Linked DNA regions of Kluyveromyces lactis. The protein of the gene in region 1 binds, or shares a complex with, the protein of each later gene. Links are inferred from orthologs where the notes say so. Each region holds a gene or a part of one and is shown on either strand. Other genes may lie near its edges. The genes, in order: SIN3, RCO1, SDS3, EAF3 and UME6.

Region 1 (3,535 bases):
GCACTTATAATCAAGTAGAGTACATTCAGGGTGCCCCAGGTTATCCTCAACCACTTGAAGGTGTGCAATACATGGAAGCTCCTATGGCTAGACCTGAAATTGACTTGGACCCAAGTCTTGTACCCGTCGTACCAGAACCAATACAACCTCCTGAAGATGCCATTGCATTAGGTGATGAAGTGACGTTCTTTGAAAGAGTGAAAAGGTTTATTGGAAACAAGCAAGTTTACGCTGAGTTTTTGAAAATTCTTAATTTGTACTCACAAGATCTTCTAACAACCTCTGAATTGGTCTCGAAGGTGGAATTCTATTTGCATAGCTCTAAAGAACTTTTCGATTGGTTCAAAAGTTTTGTTGGCTACCAAGAAAAACCCAAACATATCGAAAATATAGTACATGAAAAACATAGATTGGACTTGGACCTCTGCGAAGCATGCGGCCCAAGTTATAAAAAATTGCCAAAAGACGATACCTTCATGCCATGCTCTGGAAGAGACGAAATGTGCTGGGAGGTTTTGAATGATGAATGGGTGGGTCATCCAGTGTGGGCGTCAGAGGACTCTGGGTTCATTGCTCATCGGAAGAATCAATATGAGGACACACTCTTCAAGGTAGAAGAAGAAAGGCACGAATATGATTTCTACATCGAGTCCAATTTAAGAACAATTCAAACCTTGGAAACGATTGCTAATAAAATTGCAAACATGACCAACGAGGAAAAGAACAATTTCAAGCTTCCTCCTGGATTGGGTCATACTTCCCTAACAATTTATAAGAAAGTCGTTAGAAAAGTATACGATAAAGACAGAGGTTTTGAGATTATTGACGCCTTACACGAGCACCCAGCTGTCACAGTGCCCATTGTTTTGAAAAGATTAAAGCAAAAGGATGAAGAATGGAGAAGAGCTCAGAGAGAGTGGAATAAGGTCTGGAGAGAACTTGAGCAAAAGGTTTACTATAAATCGTTGGACCATTTAGGGTTGACCTTTAAACAAGCCGACAAGAAATTGTTGACTACCAAACAACTACTATCTGAAATTAGCAGCATAAAGGTTGATCAAACCAATAAAAGAATACATCCATTGACACCTAAACCAAAGAGTCAGTTAGATTTTGAGATAAATGACCGTGAAGTTTTGTATGATATTTTGGATTTGGTGTTTACGTTCGTTAAGACTAATGCATCCTATTCCAATTCGGATAAGATCAAATTGGATCATTTTTTCAAGGCGTTCATATCTCTATTCTTTTCGTATCCAATCAAAGATGTTAATGAAGCTGTATCTGAACGCTCTTCAATAACTGACCAAGAAAATGGAGAAGAAGATTCTAATAAAAGCGATTCAGAAAAATCTAATAAGAGAACATTATCTGATGAAGACTCTTATCTGATGAAAGACATTTTGCGTAGGACGAAGAATGCAAAAACCTCGAATTCCGAAGAGAATCAAAATAGCTCTTCCGTAAAATCGAATGAAGAAGATGAGACTGAACTCTTGGCCAAAGAGGCAGCCAAACCTTGGTTACTCGGAAGCCTTATTGATGAAGCCAATAATAGTGGGATAGTATCCGATCGACACATTTTCAATCTCTTCACTAACACAACCATTTATGTTTTCTTCCGTCACTTGAACACTCTCTATGAACGGTTATTAGAAGTCAAGAAAATAGATGCTGAGGTTACTGATGAGATTAAAAACAGGAAAATTGTACAATTTGCCAGCGATTTAAATCTAATTTCGACACAATTGGCTGACATGGGTCTAGCTTTCAAAGACACTAAAGCTTATGGTGAGTTGTTAAGACTTTCGAAAAGATTGATAACTGGTGATTTAGATCATCAATGGTTCGAAGAGAGTTTACGTCAAGCGTACAAGAATAAGGCGTTCAAAATCTACACCATCGACAAAGTCGTCCAGTCACTAGTGAAACATGCCCATAGTATCATAACGGATCCAAAAAATGCCATGGTGATGGTTTTGTTTGAACAAGACAGACTAAAAAGGGATACCACTGCAAAGGATCAGATTTTGTATAGATTGAAGGTCAGGAACACCATGGGAGAATCTGAGAATATGTTCCGTATTGAATACAATACCGACAGCTCACATGTATCAATCCAATACGTTGCCGTGGACGATTTGACATTAAAAGAGCCTCAAAACATGAAAGAAAAATGGGATTACTATGTCACGTCTTATTCATTGTCTCATCCTACCGAAGGGATAACACAGGAAGATATCAGCCAACCCTTCCTTGGGAAAATCATCGAAAAAGAAGCGGAATATCTTGATGATGAGGAACAGAATGACAAGTTCTCACCAGAAGGGGTCTCTCAATCCAAGCTCAAAGTTAACATACACCCAGAAACTTATGAACTAACTTTCGAATGTGGTTCAACTGATGTGTTCACCAGAAAATCTGTTAATAAGTTCCCAAGCTCCCAAAGCACTCAACCGGCATCAAAAATGGATAAATTCTTGAATAGTTCTAAGGGTTGGAAGAAAAACTTGAGCACTGAGATAATTGGACGCGCAGAGTCCAAAATGAAAATTTTGAAGGAACAAGGTAAATTAGAAATTGACCAAACACTGACAATTACTGCAAAAATTGAAGAACCAAACGAACCAATCTCTAAGGAAGATGTTCCTGAAAAAGCTGTGTAGTTTTTGCATACACGATTGTAAAATAAACAAATTCATGTTATATAATGCAGTTATATAGTAGTAATATTACCCTATTCAAGTTCAGTATCTACTCCGAAATCGGATAGGTCTTCTCCCCAATCGTTATACCAGGAATTCCGCCCTAACCTATCCCTGAGATCTACGGATTTATCTCTTATTACTTGTTCACCTCCAGAAACTATCGTCTCGATTGATGATCCTGATCCTAAAGCCCGGGAATGATGTGTCAAACCATCAGGAGGCCAAGGTAAAGACATAAGCATATCCTCTATAGATGAATTTGGATCATAGAAAAAAAGTTCGTTCTTGGCGAATGATGTCCCTATAGTTGGCGGCTTGGACCACGGCCACAACCAAAGATACCAAGGACCCATTGCATTGTTAATATTGGTCCATGGGTTGACGTCATATGGGAAGTTGGTGAAATCTTCTTGATTCACATATCTTTTTGAGAGTAATTTATTAATTTCGTGCTGCTTGGCGGGAAGTATTTCGGGCCTTCGCTCCACCAAACGGTCTATAACTTGAGCCAAAAGCCTGTTCTTGTAATGTAAACTTTGAATTCTGTCCATCTCCCAGGATTCAATTTGTGTCATACCATGCAAACATTGGTTATAAATACACCTTCCTAGTAGTGAAGAAACTGTGAGCAATACAAATGCATCCATAGGAGTCATAATGCAGATAAAAATGATCTCTGATGTAGACCTATGATGAAAAGCCGTATGCCTTATGGACCAAAGTAGATAGATTCTTCCAATAAGGAGAAATAATAGGTAAGCAGTAGAGAAAATGACCCAGAATAAGAAGCGCATAAAATGGGGAAAGTTGCTGTGTCCAACACAATT
Region 2 (5,127 bases), on another chromosome or scaffold:
CTGGCGGTGCTGCAGTTGCAGCAGCACCAGCACCAATCATATCGATCATCACTGAGGATGTCGAATGTTCAAGTGATGAGATACCTGAACACCCGAAATATACCACAGCTGTTAATTTGCCAACAGAGAGAGAGAAATCCTCCATTCCTAGAACCGGAACATCGGATAATTGGGTTTATCCATCAGAGAAGCAATTCTTCGAGGCAATGAAGAGAAAAAATTGGGATCCCGAAGCTGTGGATATGAAAGCCGTTGTTCCCATCCACAATTCCGTTAATGAAAGAGTATGGAATTATATCAAAATTTGGGAAGACGGACAAGGGGGAGATGTCTGTGGTGGCATCAAATTGACTAGTTTCAAAGGCGATTCAAAGAAGTTAACCCCAAGAGCATGGTTTAGATCCTCAATCCTTGGAATGACCAAACCTTTTGATAGGCACGATTGGGTCGTCGATCGCTGCGGGAAACAAATAGATTATGTCATCGACTTCTATTCGAATCCAGAACCTGAAAAGAACCACCTTCCTCCAATATATTTGGACGTTAGACCAAAAGTGAATACTTTTGAAGGTTGTAAATTACGCGTTATGAAAATGCTAGGATTTTAAAGACAGAAGGGATCGTCCAAATTTTCAATCCTAAGGGAAGATAATGGACAAAAACACATCACGGTATTAGCAAATACATTTATATCTCTATATTTATCGGTTTGATCGAGATACACAAACCTAATCGTTTGGTACTCCGACATTACCTCATTTTTAAAACTCTGTAAATAGATAATTAATATATATATATAATATATTTGTATATACAAAATTTGTCATATATGTACATGATAAAACGTGAAAAGTTGCGAAAAAGATTATGCACTAACGTCCCGGCTTAAGCTTCCCTCATCGGGTTTAGAATTTACCTGGAGAGAAAGCTTGGCCTAGCTGTTGCATGTTTTCACCAACCTTAACGTTAGTTTCAAAGTACTTGGCAACACATCTGTCGATACAAGTAGATTCGTTCTTGTTTAGTTGACCATCGTTATAAATTTGTTCAATACATTTCTTGTGACAGTTGTCGACCAACTTGTTGAACATGTCAGTAACCAAATCTAGTTCAGCTTCAGCTGCTGATAGCTTTTGTTGAGAAGATAATTGAGGTTGACCGCCTAGACCGAACATTTCTTAGAAGATGATTTTTATATGTTGTTATTGTAGGAGTGGTATTCCTGTGGCTATGAATAGAAGACTAATCACTACGATAAACTACGTCAATAAATATTTACAGATCAAACAACAGTCTAGTTGTCAACGCATTTAACTGCTATTAGTTAAATTTTAGTGAACTGCAATTCCTGACGAATAGTTGCTATACTGAAAATTTTCAGAAATATGAGGAAATATACGTTACCCGGTCACATGCACGTGATTTGGACATGTATTGATTTGACAGAGGGAGCATTGACCTATAGTAGTCATTGAACCTTTGGAACTACCGATTCTTGCAATTATTTGGTACTTATGAGGATTGAGTTCTCATTCGTTGTAATTATATATGCATGTATATCTTACTTTCTTTCTCTGTTAAAACCTGATATATTGAAGACAGATAACTAGTCAAAGAAATCATCGTCTTCATCGTCATCTTGATCCACACTAGATGATGCTGTTCCTTTTTCTCTTCTATCGAATATAATACGTGTAGTATTGCGCTTTTGCTCATCTCTTCCGACTGATTCGAGGATTCCAACGATGTCCTGCTCTGTTAATTTGTTTCTAATAGCACCGGACCGCACCATTTGTAGTAAATAAGCTTCTACTGCCTTTACACGTTCTGGCCGCACCAACGCTACCCTGCTCAATCTTTCTTGTGCATTGGAATCCAAAATCTGATTCAATATCGCTTGTGTTTGACCATCATTCGATCCGTTGTTTGCTGATTCTGATGTTCCTCCACTTTGTTGCTTCAATTCCCTCAATCTGGCCTCTCTAATGGCTCTCAATTCGTCGTCCATGGTTGCTTCTATTATTTTAATGTGACTGGTGACGCCTCAGCCTGTTCCCGTAACTATATACATTTTGATTCCATTATCATTGATATAGCTGGTATGTGTATACGACTTCAACTATCGAAGGTTCGTGATATTGGAATACAGAAAAAAAATAAAAAAGTGCGATACAAATTTAATTGAACGCATCTAACAATTGAATTAAATTATGGTTCAACGCGAAACAACGAGTAGGGGAAAGTACCGGCTAAAAAAATTACGTGCCAGTACATCTACTTTCCGGCTTCATGACAAAAAATATGGAGGTAACGAGGCCCAAACGGTCAGGTACTGCCAATGTGGATTATAATCTGAAAAAGAGACGGATTATTCCAAGTGATGATTATCCAACGAAAAGTACATCCTCAATATCTTCATCACCGTCCCAAGAACCATCGACAGAACCTATTGGACCAGTCATTCTTAAGGATAGTAATGGAAATATAACGTTTCAGGAGCCGCCAGTGCATGATCCAATAAATGCTATGACAGGGACGCCATTATCTCAGAAGCCGAAGGGATCGAGTAACAACAACAGTAACAATAATAATAGTACCAATAACATCAATAATAACGACAATGATGATAGCAATAATAGAAGTGGTAAACACAGAAATGGTAACAATAAGAAGAAGAAATCCAATATATTACAGGCATTAAAGAGCAGCATGGAGGCTAAATATGAGGGACAACTACAAACTGAAAAATCAAATGAATTGACCGTACAAAGTCATGAACGCATAGGAGCGAACACTCCCACTAAACACAACAAAAATTCAGGAATTAAACAAGAGGCTGACTCGGATTTTATGCTACAGGATCCTATACGAAATTCGCCCAGTAAATCGATAGCACTAAAAATGGCGAAAAGGTTGAAATCTACCAAGGATAAAGATACCAAGTTATTTGGACAAAATGATAAAGCTTCTCATTTACATATTCCAGAAATTGATCCGGATAATAACAAGGAAAATGACGATTTTTGTTCCAACTGTCATGGTCCTGGGGTGTTCTTATGCTGTGACACTTGTCCAAAATCTTTCCATTTTGCTTGCTGTAACCCACCTTTGGATCCAAGCCATCTACCAGAAGGTGATTGGTCTTGTGATGAATGCCGATTCAAGCAATGGATCAAGTCTAATAAATACGGACTGTCCTCTGAAAAAAAGTTGAAAACAAGGTTTTTACAAGACCATTTCAAGCAACCCGGGTATCAGTTATTCGGTACTCTAACATTTGATCTTCAAAGGAAAAATCCGTTCCAATTTCAATTGCCGTCTATTATCAAATCAACGTTCGATTCGGTCTCCTCGGGGTCGCAAGGAGAATATCGTGACGAACACTTTAAAGAAAATATCAATGAAAAACAAATTTTTCATTCCGCGTACGGGCAGTCTGTCACACGGATGGATTCTTATCAGCCAGAGTATCATTTCAACCAGGATTCTGGAGAACTTTTAGTGTGCTATAATTGTGGAGAATCAAAGATGGGAACATGGGACCATCCGGACTCCCAACGACTGATAATGACTTGCGATTACTGTTCAACACCATGGCACTTAGATTGTCTTCCACTGCCTAGAGCATCCTTGAAAAACCTGGGATCGAAGTGGAAATGCCCGTTGCATGCCCCATTACCAAAATCATACAAAAGACGTTTAGCAAGGGGAAAACAGAAATATATAGTACTTCCAATAGGAAGTAGAAACAACGGAGATACAGAAATAGCAATAGATGCGGACTCCTGGACTTTATCAAAACTTACAGAACAGAATGTCGCACTAGAGTTTTTAGATAAGGTTTATCAGGCGAAACGTGTACAGCAGTTTGAAGACTTGTGTCAGCATTCTACGATTTTAGACAAATTAGTTGCAGCAGAAAATCAAACCCCGATATTGAATGATATATCCAACCTCTTATACTTCCAAACGTCCGGTACCCTCAAAAGATTATGGGACTTTAAGGAACTCTGTAAAATATCGGAACAACAATTGCTGAAGGAAAAGGCAAAAATTCAACCCATAGATGAGTCCGAGTTAACGATTCTTCAAAAGTTGAAAACGCTTTTAGAGTCGAAACCGAAAAAAGAAGTTCTTGAATTTTTCAAACTTACTCAATAGTTAAAGGTTCACGCATGCCCGTATTCAATGGAGCTGTTTGTTATTTTATGTTTCATCTTCATCGGCGAGTTGAAGACTTATATATAGAAACAACTACATATGATAAAAAACATTTCCTTAGATAAATTATGACAGATATATAGCTAGGTAATGATGGAATTTCGTAACTTACATTACCTCTTCGTTCTCATCATCTTCATTATAATCGACGGCAGTTTTAGTACGGGTGCTTTTCCTTTGGGGACCTCTATTACTTTTCAGTGGGCTGGGGTAAATACTTCTATCATGTGCACCATCTGAGTCATCGCCGCTGTCACTGCTATAATGTCTTCTTTTCTTTGAAGGGGTGCGCTGTTTATACTCACTTGTCAACTTTCTCTGCTGTTTTTGCTGCTTAGTTGTCGTCGATGACCCATGCACCATTTTACTACATTTTAGCTTTATCTTTTGCTCAAGAACTTGAGTGTAATCATCTTTGATGAATGTTTTGAATGTATTTGCCTGTGCTAATTCCATGTTCTCGAAGGGTACGTAAAGATCACTCGGTAGGTTGAGTTTACCAGGGTACACGGTGAGATTCAAATTTTTTATTTGTTTCAATTCATTCAAAATCATCTGAACCAATTCACTTATCACGTAAATGCATGTTGGAGCCTCATCTAACAAGTCTTTGTACTGTTTTATACGACCGGCTAGGTAATACAATAAGCTGATACTTTCGGGCTTTAAAACAGTATCTAAAAAGAAAAGAACATAATCAATTGCAGTGCTGCAAGATGTAATGAATTCGTCTTCTGAAGCATCCACATAAAGGTTTTCTTCGATATCAGGATGGTGCGCAATGCAGTGGAGAAGTCTTGGAAGGCTTCTTTCAAATATAGCTCCTCTTCGTGCTGTTTCCTTTTGAAAAGTAAAATTAATCCATATTTTAGTATCAGTTTTAAATTTGGCATCTGGCTCAAACGG
Region 3 (3,957 bases), on another chromosome or scaffold:
AGTGGAAGGAGTCGACAGCTCTGAATGAGTAGTATCAAAAGTACTTGTCACTGTACCTACAGTGGGTACAGGTCTGGAAGAGTTCGACGCGCTTTCAAACTGTTCAATTTTGATTCTTGGTGGAGTCACATTGGTATTATCGACTCTTATCCGTGGCATCGGTAAATCTTCCACCTGAGTATTATGATTAGATTGACCCGCCAGGTTAGTCAATTCTTGCAACTGGCTGAATTGACTATCAACATAATCAGGCAAAGGATCATTAACGTTGCCTGTCAATTCTTGTAATTCCGATAAATTTGAAATGTACTGGTACTCTTTGGAAACATCGGATAAGTCTGAATGAACGCTAAGCAACTCATCCACATCGCTATCCAGAGCAAGGTACCCAGTACTTGGTGAGATTGCATCTGATGGGTAAATATATGGTGAGTTAGATGCCGACGACACAGTATCCAAATTGTCAGTCTCATTAGTGGACAAGGCAGGGAACAAAAAAGATGGATCTGTGTTTGGTATATTCAATTCATGTGACACATATTTATTAGCATTTCTACCGTTGTTACGGTTGACGCTAGGTGGCTGCTGAAGCTGGGCGTTACTTTTCACACTGCGATTAAGCATATCGTGAGCCAGGACACCATTTATACTAAGACTAGGGATTGAAGGTGCGTTTTTGTTATTATCACCAGTTTCTTTCGAAAAGGAATTCGCGACACTGAACCCAAACTCCTTAAAACCTGACAGTATATCACCACCGAAGTCAGACAGCTTGACACCACATTTCCTACTATTATTCATCGCATTGAAACCAGGCGCAACCTTCGACCCTCGAGAATTGTCAGAATCTTCCGGATTTAACAGTACATTCGCACCGATGTCACTGGGACTATCGACATTCAAATAATCGTCAATATCCATACTGTTCTCTCAGTCAAAAAAAAAAACAACAAAAACAACTCGGAATACAAGTCTCAAAGTCAGGTAATATTATATCCAAAGGGGAAACCAATATGTTTTTCGAAAACTCTGTTCTCTGTTCTTTCTTTCCTATGAACTGGAAAGACTGAAAAGAAGAGCTTTATAAAATCGACACACTTATAACGTCGAAATTTAAAGTATTAGAATATTAGGGGTAGTTCAAAGCACCGCAAAATTCAGCGATTTATCTGTACTAATAACACACAACACTGATGTGTATCACAGGCTGCGTACCACTGTTTTATCTCTGAATTAGTCTCACTATTTCACTTCTATTCACCTAACAAAAAAAAAATCACATCGTCATTATATTATAACTTAACTTACTTTTTTTTTTTTTGGGAATTTTCCCTTTTCTTTACCAAAATTGCCAAAAGTTCAAAGCCTTTAAAAACTTTCAACACACTTAAAGCCTGCACTTATACCGGCCAGCTTTAAGCTTTTCTTATCTGAAGCTGCGACTTTTCTGCGGGGAAATGAGATGGAAAACGGAACATAAAAAATTTAAAAAAGAAAATGGTGATACTTGCAATGAATAAATCAGTGTTATGGGAGCATTGAGGTTCGAACGGCAGAAGCATGGCATTTTCTTGTTTGTCTCATTTGATTATTATTATTTTTTTTTTTTTTTTTTTAAATCAGAGCAGCTTAAGCAGTTGTACTTTGTACATACTTTATACATAATTTGTACATAATTTGTACCCAGCTCATACGTTGCACGATACATGTAACGAGCAGCACATTAACTCGTTGTGTTAACGTTTTCAATTGTAATTTTTTATTCTGTGTTAGTAATTTCACAGGATAATTGGTAAGAAACGATACCGGAGAGTTTTTCTGGTTTCACTTTAACAATTATATCAGCTTTTGCAGTAAATACAGCTTCTCCCCCCGAGGAACATGGATGAAGTACAATATTCTATGATGAGCAGCGGTGTGAAGAAAGGTCAAGGAGCGAAACAGAATGGGGGTGCTATTCCCGCAGGTGTTGGGCAGGATTTGAGTAGGAAGGATAAGAAGCGATTACAGTTTGAAGGGAAAGTGGGAAAGATAAGAACGTCGTTTGCAAAGGATAAAGATGTGCATTATAGGGATAGGTTGACTCTGTTACAGACAGATTTAACGACGCTGCATCAGGGGAATAACCCTGAATTTCTGAGGAAATTGAGGGATCTTGAAGAAGATAGGGATTTGGAATTAGTTAGGCTCAGGCTTTTCGAAGAGTACCGGATTTACAGGTCCAAAGTAGAGTTCCAAGAAGATATTGAAAAAGCCAAGCAAGAACATGAAAGGATGATCAAATTGTGCAAAGAGATGTTGTATGAATCCCTACAGAAAACTATCAAGAAATTGCAAGAGGAACGGCTACTTCTGGATGTAGCAAACACACAGTCTTATTCGATGGATTATTCTCGAGGGAAATTCCAGAAGCAGACTAGAAGCTCAACTCAAAATTCAGCCAATTTTTCGGCTTGGGATTCGTCACCGAACGATGTCAGCCAAACAGAAAGTGGCAATGAGACTGGTAATACTACCGATAGGAGGTCATTGCGTAGGCGTGCTGCTACTAATCAGAATAGAGCTCAAACTCCTGCAAACATTACACCTGCAAACGGAAGCGGGAAATCAAGCAATACTAATAGCGATGCAGAGTCGATGCAATATCTGAGCGATTCATCAGAATTACAGGCTTTATTGTTCGGAAAGGAAAAGGAAAAGGAAAAGAAGATGGGTCGAGGTCACCAAAGACTTTCGACAAAAAGCGCTCCTATTCTTCAATCTTTAACTCCGGATGAGGTTACTGATGATATATCTTTGATAAGAAAGCTAACGGGCCAAGTACCAGCCCCATTCAAATGAATATCAATAGTTGGATTTATCTTGTAAATCTGGTCTGGGGTACAAGTGAAGAAACTAAAATGTTACCAGTTTTTTTTTTCTGTCATCCAATATTTCCCAAACTGCTTAGGTCCCAAATACTATCCGTTATTGTCAGTCTTATACCTTGTATTTTTAGTGTATCTCATGTGTAATACTACTACTTTATAATACTGCGTATTTTTTAATGTATGCACAAAAAAGTGAACAGAATCTGAATTTTGATATTTCAGTTATCTATTGACGATGATTTATGCGCAATACGCGATCCATTTATAAACATAAACTCAACAGTCGATTAAAGTACCAAGAATATTAGTATAAAACCTCATTCTTTCATCTTCAACTATTGGGACGTACACATTCATCTTTTCCACTTTTTTTTGCATGATTACTGATAGTTTCCATCTTATCTCATGAGGAATAGAACCAGAAAGCTACTGATAGTGATAACAATTGCACTTCTAATTTGTGTTGGTGTACACCATATTGTGCGAACGGAAGAAGCTGCAATATGGGAAGATGCTGTAGTCTACTCCTCAGCGGATCGCGCCTCTAAGAAGGAACATCCCTTCTTTGAAGGGTGTGTGGATACTGCAGAATATCTAAATCACAAAAAATATGAACGACAGAATGCCACATTTGTGATGTTAACAAGAAACGAGGAGCTGGATGGGGTAATTCACACTATGAGATCTGTGGAAAGAAGATTCAATCAATGGTTCCAATATCCGTACGTTTTTATGAACAACGAACCATTCACTGATGAATTTCAAGAAAGAGTCCGATCATTAACAACTGCCAACATAACGTTTGCCCTTGTAGATGAGTCCTCATGGAATTTCCCTAAGGAGAACACTCCACTATTTCAGCATTACGTTGAATCCCAGGGTGATCGTGGAATTATGTATGGGAATATGGTTTCATACCATAAGATGTGCAGATTTTATTCCGGACTCTTCTATAAACACCCTGCAGTTAGGCAATACGAGTGGTACTGGCGTATTGAACCAGATGTGGAATTCTTCTGTGATCTAACTTATGATCCATTCTTTGAAATGAAGAAGGCAGGAAAGAAATACGGTTTCACAATTTTTA
Region 4 (4,140 bases), on another chromosome or scaffold:
GCCCTGTGACAATCTCACCCTACTGTTCCCCATACTGCTATTAACATTTTTCTTTTGAGACTTATTTGGTGTGCTTTGTGAGAAAGACCTATAGTTACGTGAATCGTGCCTACTATTCTGTTGTTGATGATTTTGTCCCTGTACTTGCCCCGGTGCCTGCTGTTGTGCCTGCTGTTGATGCAATGGTGTAAGCTGTTGAGCAGAATGTTTTGTATTTCTTGGTGTTGGATTACCATACCCATGCAAATTAACTCTTTTGTTGACCTTAATGTTCCAACCTTGACCGCCGTTCAAATCCATCCAATCGTAATGACCATCTTCTTCGTACCCATTTTCTTGCATGATTTGCGTCATCAAGGAGATCAAATAATCATAATCTGGGTCCTGATCGAACCTTAACGATCTACAGTACGATAGATATTCAGCAAACTGTTTTGGTATCTCCGGTGTCAATAAATCCGTTGGTTTTAACCTCTGTTTCGTGAGTCCAATCTTTTCATACTTAGCCTTGTTGTTAAGAGCTTTCAAACCTTGCCATGGTAAGGACCCACGTAAGAAATAGAAGAATACGTGGCCAAGGGACTCCAAGTCATCTCTTCTCGATTGCTCTCTACCGAAATGGGTGTTTATCGACATGTACCGCGCAGTCCCGCTCAAAGATTTACGCTCTCTATATGGTATATGTTGTTTTGTGTTTGGGTCCCTAAACTGCTTTGCCATTCCGAAATCAACCACGTATATTAGGTTTGCGTCACCACCACTGCTTGTGGCACACGACTTAACCACTGACCCATCCGATAACTCCCGTTGAAACTCAGATATCAAAAAGTTATCCGGCTTAATGTCCCGATATATCAAATCATGCTCGTGAATAGAACGTACTCTATCAATCATCTGTTTCGCCAACATTGCTGTCGTCTTTACGGAAAATTTTCGACTACACCATTCAAATAAATCTTCTAACGACGGACCCAACAAATCGATGATCAAAATGTTATGAATCCCCTCTTGACTGAAATAATACGCATGAGGAATTCCTCTCACATCATTCAATATCCTATATGCGCGAAACTCATCCCGTAACTGTGGTGAGTCAGACCGTCTGGGTTCAAACTTTATAGCAACAGGGTTCTTCGACCCACCATTTAGAATGTTTTCACCTTCAAAGATTATTCCAAACGAACCTTCCCCAATCTTAGGACCAACAGCATAGTGAATTCCTACCACATGCTGGGACGAACGTTTAGACATTGCAAAAGCACCGACTCTGGGTTTTATCAAGTCCTATCGGGAAACAAAAAAATACAATACTAGGAAATGTGGGAAACCTTTCCTTTCTCTCTTGCTTCGAATAAAATAGTTCAGTAGCCACCACTCAAATAACGTCTCATCGACTCAGAATACCAATACAGATGTTTGTCCGCGTGTAAAAGATCGTCCTTGCCAGTCAGAACCGTTGTGGTTTGCTTCTTTGGTCACTGTGATAAAAGGCTGTTTCTTTCAAATTTGTTTTTGTTTCATCAACTTTTTTTTTTCTTTACTTTGGCATTAAAGGTCAGAACAGCATTATTAGGAGAGCTTTGCAGACCTTGTGTGATGGTAAGAGGTGGATATGCGACGTGATTAGTGGCGTTGTGGTGCTGGAATTGGTGTTGAAGGGTGGCCAAGACTTTATGAATTGATACTAGTTTGACTCTAGTGCTTTGAGGCAATACTTGGAGATATCAGGTCACTTCCAATGTCATATCATATCACGTGAGTTGTCACGTGATCAGAATTTCCCACTTCCTTCTTCTTGGAAAGTACTGCATTCCTTCCAAGTAGCTGCGGTTTATATACCATTACTATCAAGTGCTCACCTAGTGTTATCTACTGTTTCTATACTGTCCGTTTTCCCATGTTTCTTCACGTAAAATTCAAATGCCAAATCTTACGTTAAAGCTACCATCTAGCACTTTCACGAAACAGAAGTTACACATAGTATTTGAACCTGCTACGCTGGTCTTTCTCCAAAATTTAATTGTCCCAGGGGAACTTTCAGTAGCTGTTGATCATGGCAATTGTTCTAGATGGGAAATGTTTGTGTTATCACGGACCTTTGCTCTATGAAGCCAAAGTATTACGAGTTTACGATGAAAAGAATCAGACTATTACATCAAAGGACTACAAAGACGTGAGTATTGACGATGAAAAAGTAGAATTTGATCGTCCGCCGGAACATATGAGACAGGGCCAATGCTATTTTGTGCATTACCAGGGCTGGAAGTCGAGTTGGGACGAATGGGTTGGTTTAGACCGAATCAGACCGTATAACGATGAGAATTTGGAATTGAAGAAGTCGTTGGTGGAAAAGGCTCGAGAGTTGAAGAACAATGGTGGGAAGAAGAAATCAGGATCACGGCCTGTTGGCAGGCCTAGTAAGGTTGAGAAGGGCAAAAAGGCGGCCAGCCGTACCTCAAATAGTGGCAGTGGTACTAATACTTCGGCAAGTTCGACTTCCGCTTCTAATCCAGCCTCATCTTCATCTTCTGGTACAACAGCAGCAGCTTCCAGCTCTGACAAATCCGACCGTAAGAAGGCAACCCCAGTACTAAACAAAAGATCACACCCTAAGATACACATAAAAGTCCCTATCTCGCTTCGTTCTGTGCTTGTAGACGACTGGGAAAACGTCACAAAAGACAGAAAGCTAGTACAACTACCCAGCGAACGGCCAATCGAACATATCTTGTCCCAGTTCTATGCAGATACTAGCAATTCGACCTCCTCAGTGGTAGAACAAGCTCAACTCTCAGAATTTCTGCAGGGAATAAAACTCTACTTCAACTTATCCCTGGGGAAATTACTCTTGTACCGTCTAGAAAGAATCCAATATGCAGAACTACTGAAAGCACACTCGGAGAAACAGTACACTGAAATTTACGGAATTATCCATCTACTAAGACTAGTCACTTTACTCCCCGAAATGATGGAATCAAGCAACGTCGATGACCAAACTGCCAAGATCCTAGTGAAACAGTGCGACATTTTACTCGAATGGATCGCCATAAACATCGCGAGGAAAAACTTCCCAGTAGATCCCTACATAAACACGTCCTCCCAATACGAGGGGGTCGCACTAAGCATGTAATATATCTCTACCACATCTCCAGACCCCACCACATACACCGTTATATATATATATATCCCCCAAAACCCTTTTTTCGGGGACCCCAGAAATATTATTTCCGGGCCGTGATTATAAGCGATCAACATCTGAAAAACAGTTTCGATTCGACCGTACTCATCATAGCATAACAATCACAAGACATCATAAATATACTGTTCGTTATCCTTAAATCATCAGCTGTCGGAGCCTCGGAGTAAGCAGTGTACTTCAGTATCTATTGATATATTTACGCTGTACAGCAGACGGTGGTAGAAAATGATGGGTTCTGAGAGTAAGGAAGCGTCGGAGGAAAAAGTAGGCGGCAGATACGTTTGTCCTCATCCAGATTGTGAGAAGACCTTCTCACGGTATGAGCATTTACAGAGGCATAAGCTTAACCACTGGCCGAAGCAGATATTTCGGTGTGAATATGTTTATCCTGACGATGGGATAGTTTGCAACCGGACTTTCGTTCGGAAGGATTTGTTGGTGAGACATCAGAGACGTCACACGAATAACGGTGTTCGAATGCAGATGAAGGTGAGAAGAGAATCTGGCAAAGAAAGAGCGGCGGGTGGGTCTAAAGCAGCGGCACCGCAGCTGCCGGATACGGCGAGTGTCGCTGGTGTTGGACAGCAGCCACAACAGCAGAAAAAGGTGGATCATATCGTACTTGATGTGGGGGATAAAAAGCACAATAAGGCGAGCTCGGGTAGCGGACATGCGGTTGGCCATGACAGTAACTCTTTGCCCAATAGCAGTAGTACGACAAGTAGTAGTAATACTAGTCTGAATGCTGGGTTTAACGCAATGGGGCCAGCATCAAACGGTAACTTGAACAGTTTCTTCAACTGGTTGTTCGCCGGTGGTGTAACTCAGGATGCTACGCCTCAACAGAATAGTAGGTTGGATCAGCCATCTGATGCAGTGCCACCAACTGCGAAGTTGGAAGATCCATCAATTTTGTGACCGCCTCTGTCACAATCCCACGT
Region 5 (5,216 bases), on another chromosome or scaffold:
TTGATTTTAGCCTGGGAAGTTGTCGACATGAGAAGATCATTCTTCATGATGAACCCTGAAAGTGAAACACCATACACTCAAGTGTTCAAGGACATCTGGAGCAATCAATTCTTGTTTTGGTCCATTGTTGGTGGGTTCTGTTCCGTGTTCCCAGTGGTTTATATCCCAGTAATCAACGACAAAGTGTTCTTACATTACAATATCAGTTACGAATGGGGATTCGCAATCGGATTTAGTTTCGCATTCTGGGCAGGCGTTGAATTATACAAATATGGTAAGAGACATTACTTCGGCATCAAGGACAGAGTCGACAATCCAGAAAATGATTTAGAAAAGAGAGCAGTGCACGATCCGTTCGAACAATACACTACTTCCTTCTCCAGAATGAATACTTTTCACAACGACGAGAAGACTATCTGAAAGTTGAAAAGATGCAGGAATAAGCGGTGCTTTTTAATTATTTTTAATCTACAACTTATCTGGAACAAATGTATATTAGCAAATCCATATGATAAGTATCATCAATAATTTAATTTTTATAAATACCATACTACATTAACAAAAGTAGTTTATCTCACTTTAGATCGATTTTACTCTAGTTTCCCGTCAAAACTCTTTATATTTGGCCTGAATCGATTAAGACTTTGGGCCCAAAAGTTACTAAGCCGGAACAACTGATTATGACCGGGTAATACATGGTCTTTACTCTTTTCAAATCTTTTTCTCCCTTTCCAGCGTGTAAAATAGTTTCAAGACAATTTTCGTCAAGCGATACGCCCAATGGATAAGAAAAGTCAAAAACAGTCAAAAATTATTCCCACGGGTAATTAAAGAAACCCACCATCTTAGCGGGCTACATATGTAATCAGCTACTGTATAACAGCAGTGCACCTTACAAACTTCAGATATCCTACTAAAAACAAAAAACCGAGAAGCAAAGCAAGGTCAATGAGCTTGCTTAGATGGCTAGTACCATTGCCGTTCCCTTTTTTCTTCCCTTTTCTCCCTTCTGATTCGTTTTCTGCGCTTGTTTTCCTGTAGTTTTTCGCTCAAAAAAAGGCAAAAAAACGCCTAATTGAATCTCGTTCGAAAATCACATCCAAGGCGTTGTTTATTTATTTATATAAATCGAATTTTACAAATGTTTGATTTCTCTTACTTGTTTTAGTTTATTGTAATATACTCTACTTTATTTTTTTATTCTTTATGAATGCTTACATTCATTGAAACCGCGATCCTCTATGAATTGACAGGCTTCTGGTTCAATCTCTCTTACTAATTACGAACCCGCTCATTCCGTAGCTCCTGGCTTAATACCTGATTGTGTTTAGTTTCAAGAGTCTTATAAGGGGGTGAGGAGAGAATCGGTTTTTTTTTAACTCAAGAGTAACACAAACTCTTGGCGCTAAGCGCTGGCCTGAAACTTAGACTGAAGTTTTCTTCAAATATAAAAGAACCTTCGGAATAGATGGTTCGTCAGAAAAGTCAAATTGAGCGGCGTGCTGTGAACTCTGTTCGTTTATCCTCCTCTTCTCCGTTATCTTCCAAAATGCATGTGCCGGAGAAAAGTACCCCGCCAAGTTACCCTGACGAACATTCAAAAACAAACGCCGCCCAAGTGGAGCTAACCGCCCAGCGGGAAGTGACCAAAATTGATGAAAAACAAGAAAACGAAAAACAACAACGAGTGAAAACAGGTGAAAAACAAACGCTGCTGCGACATACACCAAGGCTCAACCCCTTGATACATTTAGCGATGTCTCCTACTGCTGCTCCGAATAATACGCCTGTGGAGGAAAACGATCTACAACAGGGTGTTATCTCTCCTTCACGTGGAGAGCCTTCCGGGATTCCAGGGACAAAGCCTCAAACCGAGGTTTTGCCGCCACTTCCTCGTTACGGAGAGACTAAGCAAGAGGAAAAGGAGGTTGCCGTGAAATTTGAGAAAAAAACGGGTACCCAAGACTTTGATCACGTGGTTTCGGCTGATAAACAACATGTTCCAAAAATAAATACGCGTACACCATCTATCTGTATATCCAGTAGCAATACGCTGCCGAACACTGGGAAAGGGAGTAGCACCTTATATCAAGACTCGCGCACTCCCGTGTATTTGTTCAACGATAGGATAGACTCTGGTCAAGTGAGTGAAACAGAAACACTTCACGATTCAAGAAAGGGCGAGGAAATTCAAGCTGATACTGGTAGTCATCAAAATGAACGCATGCTGCGACAAAGCGGACATAGACTCGAAGGCAAAAAGGGCAATGGCAGAAACATTGGTAATCCTGGAACTGTTTCACATGACGGTGCGAGCGGTATTGCTGCGCCTTCATCTTCGCCGATCCTTGAGACCTCGAGCGCTTCCCGTGATAGAGATCTGCATGCCACAGGAAGCGCCATGACTCCAAAAAGACTACATTTTGATTGTTCCACAGAGAAAATAGATCCGGGTGCAGGCATCTCATCAATTTCAGCTCAAAAGATCAATATTACTTCATTACTAAACTCGAGATCGACAGCAGAATCAATCTCGCCCCCTCCATCTACGGCAGGAAATGAATACACTATTCATTTCCCATCCTCAGCAGCGTCAAATCCTCCTCACTCCACAGGATCCTTCCTACATCCAAAATATCAAAATCAAAACCCGCAGGTCTCATCTACCATGAATAGAATTGTTTCTCCAACCTATATGTTCGAAACCGATCAGGTTCATGGTCCTTTCAGTAATTCTAGTAGTGGCAGTAATAGTAGTGGCAGTAATAACGGTAGCACAGCAAACAGTAATAACAATAATACACATATTACCTACCAACCGAAGTATTTCAACACAAAATTCGATGAGTTAAGGAATAGAGTGTTATTAGGATCCTCAAACGCTTTTCCGAAAGTAGAGTCGGCTAACAAGTATCCATATAATAGCACAATGGTCAACCCAACTTTGAATGATCAAGATTCCAACGTGGATGCGGAAGCTGCCGCAATCATTTCTCAGATGAGGTCTTCCCCATTACCCCCATTTAACGAACAGTTCGGCTCTGGCAATCATGATAGCCGACCGAATTCGTCATTATCAAACCAATCTCTCCAAAATAATGCCTTTAATCCGTTCTCCAAAAGACTTTTACCTAAGCCAGTGCTTCGGGTTAACCAACGACCATTGACTGGCAACCAGGATGAACTCGTTATAATGGAAGAAGAGGATGATGATGATGACGGGTATGGCGATGGTGATTACGAAATGACCGAAGGGGGATCAAAGGCACCAGAAACTGTTGCATGGAATAAGAATGGAAAAAGAAGATTGTCCAGAAGAAGATCAGGCCCACCACATTATCAATCTCAATTGACAGGAATTAAAAATGAGATTGGAGACCATCCAGATACTACGGCATACCCCGCTGCGGATATCTCGGAAAATGGTATGCATATAAAAAGATCAAGGTCTTCATCATTATCTACTGAACACACTGGATTATTGTCACCGAATTCCAAACATGCCAAACAACTGAAGTTTAAAGAATCTAATTACAATAATGATGTTTCTAACGAGCAAATGGTCAAATCAAGTGATCAAATAAAGAAAAGAAATGCTACGGGGGCACGGTCAAGAACTGGCTGCTGGATCTGTAGATTGCGTAAGAAGAAATGTACAGAAGAGAAACCGCAATGCCAGAACTGCGTGAGGTTGCACCTCGAATGCTTTTACGACATAGTAAAACCCGATTTTATTTCAGATCCTGCTAAAAAGGCAGCAAAACTCGAAGAAATTAAAAAGAAAACAAAAGAAGCTAAGAGACAAGCAATGAAAAAGAAGACTTGGTTATAATCAAAGAGACAATCATCTCTAAATTCTTCTCAGACACACATCTGTATCATCAGGTGTTCTCAGTTTTTTTACAATAATGGACAACCCCTCAAAACTCTATAGATACCATTTTTGACTGAACTTTTATGATTATGTTCACCTCCCAATATATAATATACTCAGATATATTTGCTGTAATAAATGTGTAGACTGACTTTAATATACAATGTATGAATTGTACGTATTTTAAGCACAAAGCTTAGGGAATAGTATGGAAATGATTTCAAAAGACAACGTAGTTCAATATTTAAACTTTATGCTGCTTTCAAAGGAGGATTGAGATGATATGAGGATCAACAAAATAAAATAAGATAAAATAAAAGAACATACAAAATATAGACACATACATTACAACCAAAATTTGGAATAATTAAGATAAAATTTAAAAAAGTGTCGTTTCAGTAACTAAGGAATAGAGAAAAACAAGGCGTTAAAAATAATTATATGTGAATCACTTCAGTACATGAAAGGTAAACACATTTTTCAATCCGAGAACTATTATTTTGCGCTATGAATAAAAGAAAAAGTTGAATTGATCATCAGCCTTTTCAGCCATTGAAGGCAAACGATCCCCTGCAATGGAGACATTGTTATTGGGAAAGAATTGAGAGTCCCTTCTGATATTAGTTGAATTCTGAGGATGGTTTTCTTGATTTTGCAAGTTGTCAAATTGTGGTGAGAACGAAGTGAATGGATTATGGAATTGGGCATATTGGGAGCCCATATATGTTCTCTGTTGAGCTTGTTCGTACAGACCAGCGGAGTTGTTCGCCTGGGATGACATAACAACACTGTCCCTGGCAAATATACTTATTTGAGAATCATGCGAAGCGTTCTGTAAATAGTTGAAAGTGGACAGATTCTGGACATTAAGTTTAGGAGCTTCATTAAGGCCGTTACTATTTTCTCTGGAATCAGTAGAACTGCCATTGGTGTTAGTGGAAGACAGTGGTATCGAAGAGGACGAACTTTGAACATGGATAGATGAAAAAGGAGATGAAACAGAGCCATTGCTAGTATTTGTGCTAGCACTGTTGTTGCCGTGATTTGACATCTCGGTCCTATTGTACAAACTGAAAGATTTTTCATTCTCACTTCTTTCAACTGTGGTTGAGACGGAAAATGATGGCGTGACATTAAAACTCAGTGGCGGTTGGGGAGCAGAAGAACCACTGTAATTCCATACAGGGTTAGCAGGAGTCGTGTTATCTTTCACAGCTTCTTCAGTATAATGTGGCGATGTAGACATGTCCATACTACTTCCACCTGATGCGTTACTGTTCTCTCTAGTAGTGAAAGCCACACTGAATCCATTTTTCTGTGGGTATATCTTTCCCGATCCAGC

What was found.
Region 2: the proteins of SIN3 (region 1) and RCO1 are in contact, whole or in part, in a cryo-EM structure (PDB 8HXX), measured with the Saccharomyces cerevisiae proteins. The link is inferred for Kluyveromyces lactis from reciprocal best matches to the Saccharomyces cerevisiae genes SIN3 and RCO1. Residues at the interface, in NP_014639.1 of Saccharomyces cerevisiae: Ser661, Leu662, Glu665, Val666, Tyr675, Ile676, Leu681, Thr683, Glu684, Lys687, Ile688, Asn690, Leu691, Gln694, Asp695, Ile696, Leu697, Asp701, Lys705, Asp707, Phe708, Tyr709, Gly711, Ser712, Glu749, Gly769, Ser790, Glu791, Asp792, Ser793; in NP_013791.1 of Saccharomyces cerevisiae: Lys82, Leu84, Leu85, Ile93, Ile94, Lys95, Leu96, Glu98, Pro99, Ser100, Thr101, Ser103, Glu104, Lys107, Ser109, Val110, Thr111, Leu113, Pro114, Leu115, Asn116, Lys117, Gly118, Pro119, Ile123, Lys124, Glu126, Ser127, Leu128, Trp129.
Region 3: the proteins of SIN3 (region 1) and SDS3 are in contact, whole or in part, in a cryo-EM structure (PDB 8HPO), measured with the Saccharomyces cerevisiae proteins. The link is inferred for Kluyveromyces lactis from reciprocal best matches to the Saccharomyces cerevisiae genes SIN3 and SDS3. Residues at the interface, in NP_014639.1 of Saccharomyces cerevisiae: Ser661, Leu662, Asn663, Val666, Lys809, Glu813, Glu816, Tyr817, Tyr820, Ile821, Leu825, Arg826, Ile828, Gln829, Cys830, Glu832, Thr833, Asn836, His857, Lys869, Val870, Tyr871, Arg875, Glu878, Ile879, Ala882, His886, Val889, Thr890, Val893; in NP_012182.1 of Saccharomyces cerevisiae: Arg18, Ile21, Glu22, Val25, Leu75, Glu76, Val78, Arg79, Leu82, Phe83, Tyr86, Arg90, Ile93, Glu94, Ser289, Lys291, Thr292, Ala293, Pro294, Pro295, Leu296, Gln297, Ser298, Leu299, Pro301, Glu303, Val304, Thr305, Asp307, Ile308.
Region 4: the proteins of SIN3 (region 1) and EAF3 are in contact, whole or in part, in a cryo-EM structure (PDB 8KC7), measured with the Saccharomyces cerevisiae proteins. The link is inferred for Kluyveromyces lactis from reciprocal best matches to the Saccharomyces cerevisiae genes SIN3 and EAF3. Residues at the interface, in NP_014639.1 of Saccharomyces cerevisiae: Phe751, Lys756, Arg757, Leu758, Pro759, Trp782, His785, Val787, Trp788, Asp792; in NP_015348.1 of Saccharomyces cerevisiae: Asp242, Lys243, Pro379, Asn380, Arg381, Ser382, Asp383, Val388, Asn389, Thr390, Ser391, Ser392, Glu395.
Region 5: the proteins of SIN3 (region 1) and UME6 are in contact, whole or in part, in a crystal structure (PDB 6XAW), measured with the Saccharomyces cerevisiae proteins. The link is inferred for Kluyveromyces lactis from reciprocal best matches to the Saccharomyces cerevisiae genes SIN3 and UME6. Residues at the interface, in NP_014639.1 of Saccharomyces cerevisiae: Glu407, Phe408, Ala411, Ile412, Tyr414, Val415, Asn416, Lys419, Tyr429, Leu433, Leu436, Gln437, Tyr439, Gln440, Ile446, Val449, Phe467, Lys469, Phe470, Leu471, Pro472, Asp473; in NP_010493.1 of Saccharomyces cerevisiae: Asp519, Leu520, Gly521, Thr522, Ala523, Ala524, Ala525, Val526, Leu527, Ser528, Met530, Arg531.

What each region holds. Positions count from the first base shown.
Region 1 is NC_006039.1:546,175-549,709, forward strand, and holds the end of SIN3 (transcriptional regulator SIN3), read left to right. Parts: coding exon 1-2,666; downstream 2,667-3,535. Other genes in the region: palmitoyltransferase PFA4, read right to left, coding at 2,738-3,535. UniProt on the Saccharomyces cerevisiae protein: Catalytic component of the RPD3 histone deacetylase complexes RPD3C(L) and RPD3C(S) responsible for the deacetylation of lysine residues on the N-terminal part of the core histones (H2A, H2B, H3 and H4).
Region 2 is NC_006042.1:2,400,497-2,405,623, reverse strand, and holds RCO1 (Rco1p), read left to right. Parts: upstream 1-2,289; coding exon 2,290-4,161; downstream 4,162-5,127. Other genes in the region: cytochrome c1 heme lyase CYT2, read left to right, coding at 1-608; protein transporter TIM10, read right to left, coding at 906-1,175; SDD2 (Sdd2p), read right to left, coding at 1,607-2,008; sister chromatid cohesion factor PDS5, read right to left, coding at 4,330-5,127. UniProt on the Saccharomyces cerevisiae protein: Catalytic component of the RPD3C(S) histone deacetylase complex responsible for the deacetylation of lysine residues on the N-terminal part of the core histones (H2A, H2B, H3 and H4).
Region 3 is NC_006041.1:773,969-777,925, reverse strand, and holds SDS3 (Sds3p), read left to right. Parts: upstream 1-1,881; coding exon 1,882-2,841; downstream 2,842-3,957. Other genes in the region: DNA-binding transcription factor CRZ1, read right to left, coding at 1-921; KTR5 (putative mannosyltransferase), read left to right, coding at 3,276-3,957. UniProt on the Saccharomyces cerevisiae protein: Component of the RPD3C(L) histone deacetylase complex (HDAC) responsible for the deacetylation of lysine residues on the N-terminal part of the core histones (H2A, H2B, H3 and H4).
Region 4 is NC_006041.1:1,190,592-1,194,731, reverse strand, and holds EAF3 (Eaf3p), read left to right. Parts: upstream 1-2,053; coding exon 2,054-3,130; downstream 3,131-4,140. Other genes in the region: casein kinase YCK3, read right to left, coding at 1-1,251; KLLA0_E13487g (C2H2-type zinc finger protein), read left to right, coding at 3,425-4,117. UniProt on the Saccharomyces cerevisiae protein: Component of the NuA4 histone acetyltransferase complex which is involved in transcriptional activation of selected genes principally by acetylation of nucleosomal histone H4 and H2A. The NuA4 complex is also involved in DNA repair.
Region 5 is NC_006042.1:1,922,680-1,927,895, forward strand, and holds UME6 (DNA-binding transcriptional regulator UME6), read left to right. Parts: upstream 1-1,468; coding exon 1,469-3,832; downstream 3,833-5,216. Other genes in the region: KLLA0_F20658g (uncharacterized protein), read left to right, coding at 1-420; EBS1 (Ebs1p), read right to left, coding at 4,380-5,216. UniProt on the Saccharomyces cerevisiae protein: Component of the RPD3C(L) histone deacetylase complex (HDAC) responsible for the deacetylation of lysine residues on the N-terminal part of the core histones (H2A, H2B, H3 and H4).